Linked DNA regions of Drosophila melanogaster. The protein of the gene in region 2 interacts with the protein of the main gene of each other region in a pairwise test. Each region holds a gene or a part of one and is shown on either strand. Other genes may lie near its edges.

Region 1 (5,924 bases), on a different chromosome or scaffold from region 2:
AAGCGGCTCGGGTGCAAATAGAGTACACAAAAATGTAAAATGGGAAAGAAATGGGTTTCAAGTGCCCCGTCGCATAATGGAAAGGATGGACGACGACGTCGTCGTAGTCGTCTCATTTGTTGTTGTGTTATTGTGCATCCCGGTCGGTTTTAAGGGTTGACATTTGGCCCACACAATGGGCGCTGAAAAGGAGTGAGTCCGATTCTGGACGAGTTGAGGTGGCAACCGCCAGCGCGGCTCGCAAGTGGGTTTTTTGGCCCAAAAGTCCACGACTCCACTCGGCATTGTTTTCTTTTTGTCCCCGAAGAATGGGCCTCAGACGACATACTTTTAAGAGCTGAAATCAATTAGTTAATTGATTAACAATGCCCCAATGAGCATTGAGGGGTCACAAGGCGTAGGGGAGGGAAACGACTGCGAGTTGTTGGCGAACGCAAACGGGAATAATTCATAATATAATTATATCTGAGTGGCTAGTCAGCTAATTAAAGTGGACTGCTTGCAGTATGAATTGAATTGGATTCCTTTAAAATTCATGTAAAAACTTATCAGGTTAATTCACTTTCTAGTTAAAGTTTATCAGTATTACATCTGAATAATCATGATCATTGCTAATCATTTTAATTAGGGAGGACACTTAAGCGTTCTTATTAAAAGATAAATAAAGTGGTTGTTGTTTTCAGTTGGGATAATTCAAATATTTTGTATCACTAAAACGTGGTAATATTTTCAAAAGAAACAATGCCGTTGACACATTTCTTGATCTTTATGTTTAAATCATCTGTTTTATAAATAGCTAAGCTTCTTAAAATAATCACCAAGAAATTATTTAAGTAGCATACATTTAGCATTCTTTGTTTACTTAAGGAGGTAAGTGCGATCCCATATTGTACGTATTGCAAAATGTATATGTATAATAGGGCTTGTACAAGATAAACTATTAGTTGCTTGCTTTTATTAAAGCTAAAGACTTATTAAATTATTTAGAAAATATAATTTTTTAGGATTTACAGCCTATAGTAGATAAAAAGCTACTAAAAAGTTGTTGAGACTCATAAATCTAAAACATAAAACTATTTCTGGATCGTTACGTGTACTCAATAATTTTGGAATATCCTTGGGTTTATGAAGTGGCCAACTGTGGTTCGAAACTATTTATCTTTATCTGTCCAATTCGACTGTTTTTTCTCTGCTGCCATATTCCGCAGTCTCTCTTTTTGGCCCTGTTCATTGGCATTTCTGGCCATGCAACGCATCGTGGTCAATAACTTGCGTTGGGCTATGCGAGGCGACATCTGTACTGCTTCCGGGCATTACCACTTGGTGTTAAAGTAAAAATTGCCCAAGCATGCGTATTAAGCATGAAATTTATATTAAAAGAAAAGGGGGAGCTGGGAACGGGGAGCGGTTAGCAAAGGGACACGCATATTTGTAATCCTTATGGAGTGCAAACAAATTTCTGTGTTGTCAAGTTGCTCTCCATATTTTTGCTCCTCCTTTTTATGTTGCGAATTGGCAGAATACACTGAGAAAAATGAATTGATTATGTTTATTTGTGCCTCCACTCAAGGTATACGCTAAATTTCATATTTTGAAAACACTACGCATATATCAATTGATATGAAGTTGCATTTATGTTTGGATTTTTATTTTCGAACTAATTTAATTTTGTGATTATTCTAGTAATTGAAATGGCAATAAAACCGAAAATGACTATGTGGACATAACACTTGTTCCGATGTGGTGCAGTGTCGCAGTTGCAGTATCAGTTGCACCACAGGGCCACCATCCGAATCGACGGTTGCACCACCAGCTGTGCACAAATTGCACTCCAGATATTTTTATTTGCTGTGAATATGCCAGCTCCTCCTTTTGATTCGCTGCACCTCCACGCAGACCGAAATGCAGCTCCGATATTTATTTGTAACGGAAATGTAACCGTTAAACCCAAAAGCGTGGGTCTTCTCAGGGTGTTAATCTAGTAGCCTTAATAGATAACCCACCAGAGGCACCTTATGTCCGACTCTTTCTCATGGAAATCGAGTGCTGAAGCCGTTCTTCTGTTTCGGACTTCGTATCGTATCGCAGTAGGAGTAAAATTAACCCGCTGGCCACTTGAGTTTCGGGGGCCATATAGATCCACTCGTAACCCCCGACCAAGTTGGCCGTGTTGTTGCTGCTTCGCGTTCATTTGTTCATCCGTTTGTTGGTATGTCAAACAAGAATTATGATCGGCTTAGCCACATGCTGAGCCCGAGATCTCTCCCCCAGCCATATTCTTCTGCTCATTCTTTAGCGGCGAAGAGGAGTCTCGCGGTCTGCAGTCTTCCACCTCGTCTTCAACACAGGTAGAGCTTTAAGTGTCTCCACTTTGTGTTGAAATGTATCGCGGATACGCACCGGGTTTTCGGTCCCAGCAGACCCTCCATTCAAAAGTGTCGTCTTGCCCGCCCGCTGCGATCGGATCTTCTCAGGGCCCTAAGTCGCTGGGCCCCCTAATGTTTGTAATTAAGAACTTTCACACTCGCAACAATCGCCTCGTAAACGTGCCAGTGTCTCGATAACCACATACCCTGCTCCTCCAAGGTTTAGTGTCAAGTTTGTGCCAAGGGCTATCCAAAGGGCTATCGAAAAGAAAAAGAACCGATACAAAGTCAGCTAACCATATGTGTGCTGATACAGCCGGGTATTAATTAGAATTTTTTCATACTCTTCTTTGGATTATGCCTGTTTTTTTGAGCAAATTTATAAAGCGAACACAATGGCCAAAAGAATGGCGTAAAAATATTCGATTGACATCTGGTGCGCAAAATAATTTCAGAAAACTCTGTTTGCACAATTGGGTTTTTTGTGTGCTGGTCCAAAGTCGATTTCTATATGATGGGGGCGCGTCACATTAAATTCAATTGTTGTCACATTTTGTGTAAATATATTAATAAACATACGTTGTTTTTCCCTATTTCTTTTACTATTATTTGCTCTAATTGCGTCATTTCAAATTCTCTGGTGCTTTTGACTCTCTTTTCATTGCGGCTTTTCACATACCTTGAGTCGGTTTTCATTTATATTTCGAAATTAAGTTAACCAAACAACTTTGAATGCCCCTCAGAGAAAGAAAACGAGCTTGCTTTAATTCAAGTGGAAGATCGAAAGCAAAAGTAAACACACCTCGAGTGGGGCATAAAGATTCCGACAATGATTTCGCAGAAAATGAAAAGAGGAAAATCCTGAAATTATCCAAACAATAAAATCTGTTGATTCCCCTTGTATCTGACGCACTCAGACTCATTATGTGGAGCTCTCTCCGTGTTTACCTAATTGATGGTCAAGAAAAGTTGTTCAAATTGCGTTCTGAACGGCGGTGAATTAAATGAAATTTGTAAAGGGTTAAAGGGATTTTTAATTGATTTTTTACCTGCTTTCTGACTTGAAGTAATTTCAATTAACTTGGAAAACAATTTTAAGACTTATGCTCAGTTCTATGGGATCAGACTTTATCATAGATCATATTTTACTTTTACTAAAAAAATGTAAGTAAATGTGTTTATATGTAGTTTTGCTAATTAAAATCAAAGCAGCTAAGTTAAACAACTAACTAAAGAATCCATAATGTTTTGGCTTCAATGAAGTTACCTCGAAGAGTTCTGCATTTCCTTTAAATTTCCCGTTTTCCGGCGATTGGAATCAAATATTCGATGGCAGCATATATGCGGAATATACTACCGAATTATTTGGATAATATGTGTTTATGGTTTGTTTTTGTCGCTTATGAATTCCACTTTCCGAACTGCCATAAAATGTTGAATTTGTTGACTTTTATGGTCTTGAGCTGTTTCGTAACAGAATCTGTTTGACGAACACTTTTCCAATGGATATCACTAGTTTATGTTGACGTGTGTTGTTTGCTTTCCATTCATCGATAAGATACTTATGGTGCATCCAATGTTTTGATGCTACAAAGAATGGAGCTTGTTTGATTTGAAGTTTGCAAGATAAATAAGTAGCTTAGGATTTCAAAACTTTATGAGACTTTTAAATCGCTTTGCTTTATTTGGATTTGTATTTTGTTTCATTTCTATGAGCACTTTACGAGCGTTGAAAGTTGATATCATATGAGCACTGTTTTTTGAATTGGTTTGTGTTTTATTATTTAGTTAAATGGGAAAGAAAAGTTTGGTTTGTTTAGGATTCACTTTTACTTTGGGATATTTACCGAGAACAGTTTGTTTATGTTTTTAGTATTATCCTTTGTATTTTTTTTTTGCGAATATCGGTTGTTTCTTGGCGTTTCTTGTGAGGGGGCTAAAACCGTCGCTAGCTGTTGGCTGATCGGCTCTTCTTGGCCAAGTTGGCTGTTGCTGCATCTAAGCGCGCTTTGGCGGCTATTCAACGGATCCGTTCCGACGCGTAACTAAAAACTTGGCGCGCGCTCTCTTCAAAAACACACGAGCCAAAAAACGAGTCTTTCAGTCACCGAATGGGGCGGGGGGCGTGGCAGGTGGGGCGGTGAGACAGCTGCTATGTAACAGTATCGCTCCACAGAAGCACACACACACATACTCAGCAAATCCTCTCTGCAAAAGCTTGTGTTCTCTCTCGCTCTGGATTAATACTTTTTCCGAGAGCTTTCTTTCTTATTGGTTTGTTAAATGTTTTTTATAAGCCTGTTTATAAAGAAACTACATCCACAACAAATTCAAAATTGAGAGCAAAAATATCGTTGTATTGGTGAGAGAGAGGCCCAACGACCAGGTGACATTTCGTGAAGGAAAGAATAAAAAAAAATCCAAGAACTGCGACGTCAGGAAAAAAAAGACGAGAGCAACAGAGATAAAAAATGTCAGACAGAAAGGGATGCAGAATGCAGAGGCAGGGCGGTCAACCAGAGCAGGTGTTGCGTGGGAGTGCGAGCGAGATAAACGGAGTAGCTACTAAGCCACCATAGCCATTTCACTCTAAACAACGAGTCTCATGATGGGCGTTTCCAATTGGAATGCTTCTGGTTGGGGAAGGTTTCGTGTTACATGAAATGCCAAGTGGAAAATGGGGGTAAAGTGGGGGTCTACGACGGTCTCTTTACTGGTAAGAGGTGCCACCATTGGGAGTGAGCTTTTCGGGAGTTTCTCGATTATTTACCGCATTTGCTTAGAGACCAGCAAAGAGCGTCCAAAAAATAAAAAAAAGGTGAAAAACAAACTATCGAAAGCAAAATCAACTAATCTTAATGGACATTTATTTTTGAATCGAGCTGAACCGTGGAGATCTGAGCCTGACATCTGGCCCGCAACTACGATTCGCCTTTGGCCAATTCCCAAGCTCAAAATGGTGGATATGTTAACCAAGGTGGCCATAGTCCAAAATTGGTCCAGACAGACCACTTTGGGACACTTTATCTTTGGCTCAGACAAAGATTAAAGTAGTGTCTGTTGTAGATTCGCACATAGTACTACATTTTGATCTAAAAAACACGTTCTGTACTGGAATGACAATTAACGATTGAGTGTTTTGACCCACATGAAATACCATTTCCAAAATTAATTTTTTTATATCTGTGCATGATGACACCTGGACTTTAGGAGTATATAGTCCTGCAAAGTGCCTACTATTGCTTTGCAATTTTTCGTGTCTACATTATTGTTTTGTTAATTTGCTTTGGTGGTGGTGGCGTTGCCAGGACAACGGCTCGTAACTCCGGAGTCCCAACTCCATTCGCATTTGGTCGGGCTTTGTTCCAGGACTTTTTGTGTAAAGGGTTTTGGGTGGGCCAGGGCATTACGCAGGTGTTGCCATTGTTTCAGGGCGGTTTTTAGCGCATTTTGATTTCCATTCACTCTGTCGTGTCGAGTTCTGTCGTCTGGCACTTTGGCTTCGTTTTAATTAACAACGAACTAATGACAAATGCAAACAGTGTGTACCTGCTATAA
Region 2 (6,365 bases):
CAGTGCTCGCACAGCGGAGCCTCCTCTTCTTCAATTCGATTACCACTGGAAATAAGATGATGGTCGATTGATTTTTAAACTAACGGGTTTCCCTAGGGGGATGCTTCTTCCTTCTGGGACTTAACTCACAATAAAGTCACGCAGTTGCGGCAAATAAACTTGGCGCACTCGCCGCAGGAGTAGCCACACTCCTCGCAGAGATCCATCACGCAGTTGACGCATATGTCGTGGATGAGTGTTGGGAGCTGGCAGCAGCGCGATTTCAGGGGCGGATTCGACAAGTCGATGGAATGGTTGCGCAGAATGATGGAACCATCGCCCAGCAGATAGTACTGCTCGCATAGGGCGGGCTCCTCCTGGCCTGGCCCCAATGGATTCAGGGTATTCTGGCCCTGACCGTGCCCATTGCCGGTTGCGCCATCGAAAAGCATTTTGATTGTCTTCTCTGCAAAATAAATAGCAAAACGGAGATTTCCAGTTCAGGGTTAGACACCTCAAGGACGCCGCTCTTCCATCAGCTTCGATGGAACGTGACATATAACAGCAAAAAAAAAAGAATATTTACTTGATTTGTTTGAGGTCAGCGAGAAGTGCAATCAGAACCCTTAAAATTTCCAAATTGCAATGACAGTAAAATAGTGAGACCGATCGCGGGAAACAAGCTGACTTGACCCTATTCAAAATGCCAAAATCAGTAAATCACAAAATCGATTAGTTTCCAATCGATTCTTACTTGCAATTGCGAATTTCTGAACACTGTAGCAGTTTATTGCCAATCTCTTCGTGGGGTTATCCTCGTAAATTTGTGGTCGCTGCTTTGCTCCATTTTTTGTTCTCGTGTTTAACGGTTTAAACTGAACTCATCTTTGCATTGAGCAACAACAAGCCCGACATAACTGCACTCTGAGCGGCGCTGTCTCTCCGATCTCCCACCCGCTCCATTACAGGAAGGAGAGTAGGTGAGTTGGTGCAAGTGGGACAATGCTTTCCATACCAAGGACCCTCTTCATCTTTCGTGGTCTGCGGGGGTCGGCCATTTCTGTTCAAGATTGTCTGCCCATGGTCTCAGCTCTGAGCTACTCCAGGATGCCCTGCGGTCCAGCACCAAGCTTCTATTCGAATGCTTGGCGCGTTGAATTTCGCAAGGATAATAAGGATCGGACTAAGATTCGACGCTCTCAGGGGCCTGAAAAGCTGTAAGAAGAGTACAATTCGCAAACTGTTCGTCCTTTTGTGGGGCTGCATCTGACCTTAAAAACTCCATGCCTAGACGAACTAGGGATAGATGAATGCTTCCGACATATCTGATCATTGTCTTTAAGACTAACGAGGATTTCCTACTGCTCCTGCGCCGTCTTTCCTCACAAGAGGAGCAAATGGCACGCCCTGCGTCGCAAACGCAGCACACGGCGCTCCAGAATGTGCTAACTCTTTTGGCTCTTTGCCAAATGCTCGTTGAGCAGCGTGAAGGGAGCGGTGAGTCTTCCCCAGTACCTTATTCTCCTTCCCTAGTTAATAATGTTCTCTTTAGATCCTTAATGACCATTTCAACCGGAACCCAAAGACTTGGCATATTCTGGTCATGCCCTATGACTCCTAGAGGCCCAGCGCAATCTGGCCGGGAATCGTACGGTCCCTCTCACAGGAGAGTCCCTGGATTGCCTTCTTGGCAGCATGTTGGATGTAGACATCAAGTACTTGATCAGCCACGGCGGCAGTTGGCAGCTATTTGTGGATCTGTATAATGCACTCACAGACAACCTGATTGTGCTGTTAAAAGAACACAGTAACCTGATGTCAGACCGAGCAGCCCAGCCCAGTCTCCTGTGCCAGGATCTCATCCAGGCTATCGGCCGGAAAGAAAGCAGTTACAGGACATAAGTGAAACGGAGCTGGTTGGTAATACATTTGACATTGTGTCGTCCCAAATTTGTACTGCTTCAGAACTTAAAATTTAACAAGCACCGCGACTTTATAAGTGCTGGATTGTGTAAAGCCTTAGCTGAAGAACATCTGGCAGTGCTCGCACAGGGGATCCTTCTCTTCTTCAACTCGATTACCACTGGAAATAAGATGATGGTCGATTGATTTTCAAATAAAAGGTGTTCCCAAGGGGGATGCTTCTTTTAAGGACTTAACTCACAATAAAGTCACGCAGCTGCGGCAAATGAACCTGGAGCACTCGCCGCAGGAGTAGCCACACTCCTCGCAGAGATCCATCACGCAGTTGACGCATATGTCGTGGATGAGCGTTTGGCGCTGGCAGCAGCGCGATTTCACTCTCTCCAGGCGCGGATTGGACAAGTCGGTGCGAAGGTTGCGCAGAACGATGGAACCATCGCCAAGCAGATAGTACTGCTCGCATAGGGCGGGCTCCTCCTGGCCTTGTACCAATGGCTTCAGGGCATTCTGGCCCTGACCCTGCCTATTGCCGGCTGCGCCATCGAAAAGCATTTTGATTGTCTTCTCTGCGAAAGAAATAGAAAATCGGAGAGTTCCAGTTGAGTTAGACACTTAAAGGAGGGTTAGACACTCAGCTTCGATGGGACGTGCAAAAGAACAGCAAGAAAAAAATTAAAAAAAAAAATTTATGCGTAAATTCATCGTAAATTAGAGGTCGCTGCTTTGCTCAATTTTTTGTTCTCGCGTCTAACTGTTCAAACTGAAGTGAGCAACAAGTCCGGGATAACTGCGCTCTGAGCGGCGCTATCTCTCCAATCTCCCACCCCTCCATTACAGGATCGAAACAAGATAAGTTGGTGCGAATAAGGCAATTTACATACCATGGACCTCCTTCATCTTCCGAGGATCACGGGAGTCGCACATTTTCTGGTTCACAAATACCTTCCGCTGCGTGAGATTGTTGTTGGCGTCGCCATCCGCTGATCGCGATCGTTTTGCCGCCTTTTTACGGACCTGGTTTTCCATGATGAGATACTGGCAGATTGTTGGGCAGATCGGATAGGAACGTCTTGAAATATCAATTGAAAATCCTTTACTTTCAGGTTTCCTAACTTGCAGGCTAACAGTTAATCAGTGTCCCGTTTTGCTAACAATATTGCCTTATTAGAATAGTGCTACCATATTAAAAAATACATACAAAAGCGCCGACTGCGATCAATTTTTTTATCGTCTATCGATCGAATTTGCGGTTAGGCGGAAAATTCAAAATGTTTCTGGTTATGAGCTGTTTGGAATAGTCCAGCATTTTTAATTTATCAGATTAAAATGACTGAAAATATAAAATTTATTACATTTGTATAATATATATATATATATATATATATATATATTTGTATAACTATGGATTTGAATTGGATGCTTGTCTGCTCGCTCGTAGTTTTAGCTGAAACATTTATATAGCCAATTTTATTTAAAAAAAATTTTGTTTTAGGTAATTAAAATAAGAAAGGTAGAATTTTTTTATTTCAAAATACCCATAACCAACAACTATCGATATTTATTGACTATCGGCCAGGGTTGCCAGCCGTGCGGAATTTGTTCACTTTCCCGGAGTAGATTTTGGCCACCTTTTGTGTAAAGACACAAAGAAAACCATGCAATTAATGGACGCCGACTGCTGATGCGATCGGAATTAGAACCGCGAGCAAGCGGAGCTCACAGTGACCGTAACATCCAGATCACAGATACTCGGAAGGATCGTAAAGGACACGGAAAATGGTGAGGCGGGGGGCTCCGGGCCAAACGCACTATTTTGCCAGTGATTCAGAGTGATTCCACCTAACCGGGAATTGGTTTCCACCCACCCACTGTCTGTGCAGCACGCCGCATCTTTGACGACGGTGGAGGGACTGCTGCAGGAGTTTTATCAGCCCAGCACCTCCAATGCCCGGAAACGAGAGATCGAGACAAACCTCTTGGCCTTCAAGTCCCAGCCAGAGGCGTGGCAACTTTGCCTCCGTGTGGCCACCTCTTCCGACACCACGGAGAATCAGTTCCTCTGGTTCTTCAGCACCTCAACCTTGGAGCACACAATCACGCGGAGATGGACACAGTTGACGTCCACGGACAAGACTTTGCTGCGGGAGACCCTTTGGAACTCGTATGCCCAACTGGTAGCCACTCCAAATGTGGCCAAACGGCACAGGGACACACTGGCCCAGTTGATAGCCCTACTCGGAAAGAGGGAGTTCCCTGAACAGGACCCCAATTACATGCAACACTGCATGGAACTGACAAAAACACGGTTTCAACTTGGCATCAACCTGCTTAAGATCACCTCCGAGGAGGTGGTAAGCAACAGGGGCGACCTGACCACCGAATGGAAGCAGTACTTCTACTCCTGGTGGGTAAATAGAGCGAAGAGGCTAAAATCGTATGTTTTTTAAAAAAGGTTTTGTAGTCCCATACTTTTAATGTCTGTTTAAGACTACTTGGATTTTTAACTGAGTACGGCGTATCAGATGGTCGATGTTTTCGAGCATAGCGTATTTTTATTATTAACTTTGGTGTTATTTGTTTAAATACACGATTGCGTCGCACAACATAGAATAACACAATCCCAGACCTTGTCAGTCCGTTCTTGTTTTTGGTTTATTAATAAGTGTTATATTGAGATTGAGTATGTATATGGCATAACAACTAAAGTCAGCTGACCTCTTAAAACTCAACTAATTGAACCGTTAACCCAGTTATCATATTATATTGCTTTGTTGAGAGAAAGCACTATAATTACTGGTCAGTTGCCACAGCACTGTTCCTAACCCATTTTGTGCTCCCTTTTGCCGTGTGTTTCTGTAGCATCTCCATGTGTGTACCCGATGTTCTGGACCTGGTAACCAAGTATCTGCTAATCGCTGTATGCCACATCAATGGCAAAGACATCCAAACAACCATACCAAACACCCTCATGGACTTTAGTCTAACCTCAGCGCTGCCAAATGACAATCAATTAAGGTGGGTCATCATAACATTCAAAAGAGCATATGTTCATTACAACATTTTGTTATAACATCTCTCTATATACTCCGCAGTTCCTCAATTTTGGACCTGCTAGGATGTGTGCAGCACTTGGTCTCCTGGATACGCACTGAACTGATCTCGGAGTACTTCCTTATGAGCATACTTGACCTTTCCCAGTGGCGACCAGCCCATGAGCCCATCTCCTTGGCGGCTCTCTCTGTGTTGAATGAGCTCCTCTACCTCCAGAAGCCACTGCCCTTCCCAGGACCCTTGATGGGCGGCGTTACCAGCCTCCTGGAGCAGCACAATAACAATCGGCGGCAGAGCGAGATGTACAGCGACAAGTTTCGGGAGCTGCTGCGCCTCTACACCACCAAGTATGCCGCCAAGCTGATGCAGGAGCCAGACCTGCTGGAGACCTTTCTCAATCTGCTATACAGCTGCACCACTGAATGTGAGTCGCGTGATAAAAATATTGCCTTTTGAGATGCTAACTTATTTTTTATTTTGAGATGATCTTTTTGCTGTGTAGTCATAAAACACTCGCAATATTAAATGGGTTATGTGCATCTCGTGATCGAGATTTCGAAATGTCGTTGACAAAGATATATAACAAAAGTTATTAATTTTGTATTCCCCAAACAGTACACGGCGCCTTGGACTTCACCGAAAAGCTTGAGATCTGGACACCCATCATCAAAGGCATTGCCCAGCACCCCGCCAAAATCACGCGTTATAACAATGTGCTTACCCAGCTAGTAGATGAGATTATGAGGCGCACTCAGTTTGAGGCCAACAAACCCGAGCTAGAAGTGCTGGACAACGAGCTCATGGAGGACGATGTAAGTAGCTCTGATTTAAAGTGTTTTTAGGTGACAAATTTCAAAAACCAAGAAATAGACCTTGCATTAGAACGATCTTCATTTTATCTAGACATTCATCCAATTTCAGACCTCCGCCACTGAGTGGCAGCAGTTTCTAGACCAATGCTTCGAGTCCCTGGCCCTACTGGCCAACACCAGAGGTGCACACATCGTTTTCGCACAGGTCTATAACCACTGGTCACGGCCACAGATGTATTTACTGTCCTTGGAGCACGCATTGGACCACGGAAGCGCTCGAAGCTACGAAGCGGCACGTAAACTGAAGGGCGCCAATGTGGGCGAGATTTTGCGCGACTTTGCCACCGTCTGCCAGGCGGTCGTGCGTTTGGCCCCATTGATGGACTCATCAACAGCAGCACCCGGGGTTGCTGATGAGATGGAGTGCCAGCTGCAGATGCTGTCCGACAGTTTGCTGCAGACTCTACAGCTCCTCGCAAGCAATCGTTTGTATAGCGGCGGCAGCGAAATGGACAAAGCTACTTTCCAGACTGATTTGGACAACCTGTAAGTGGGGCATCCCTTTGCATGATGTATGTGATACTATGCTTTCTTGATCCT

Evidence for each region. Proteins that work in one complex are often made in the same cells at the same time.
Region 1: the proteins of CG13373 (region 2) and Sox21b interact in a two-hybrid assay, tested with the Drosophila melanogaster proteins (one large-scale study listed by BioGRID).

What each region holds. Positions count from the first base shown.
Region 1 is NT_037436.4:14,126,925-14,132,848, forward strand, and holds the start of Sox21b (Sox21b), read right to left. Parts: upstream 4,401-5,924; 5' UTR 4,214-4,400; exon of another isoform or gene 3,634-4,213; intron 1-3,633.
Region 2 is NC_004354.4:473,710-480,074, reverse strand, and holds CG13373 (uncharacterized protein), read right to left. Parts: upstream 3,092-6,365; 5' UTR 2,929-3,091; coding exon 2,784-2,928; exon of another isoform or gene 2,469-2,783; coding exon 2,144-2,468; exon of another isoform or gene 2,063-2,143; coding exon 1,999-2,062; 3' UTR 1,884-1,998; downstream 1-1,883. Other genes in the region: CG32817 (uncharacterized protein), read right to left, coding at 1-45, 130-431; ebo (ellipsoid body open), read left to right, coding at 3,679-3,681, 3,783-4,306, 4,762-4,917, 4,995-5,377, 5,569-5,765, 5,875-6,311.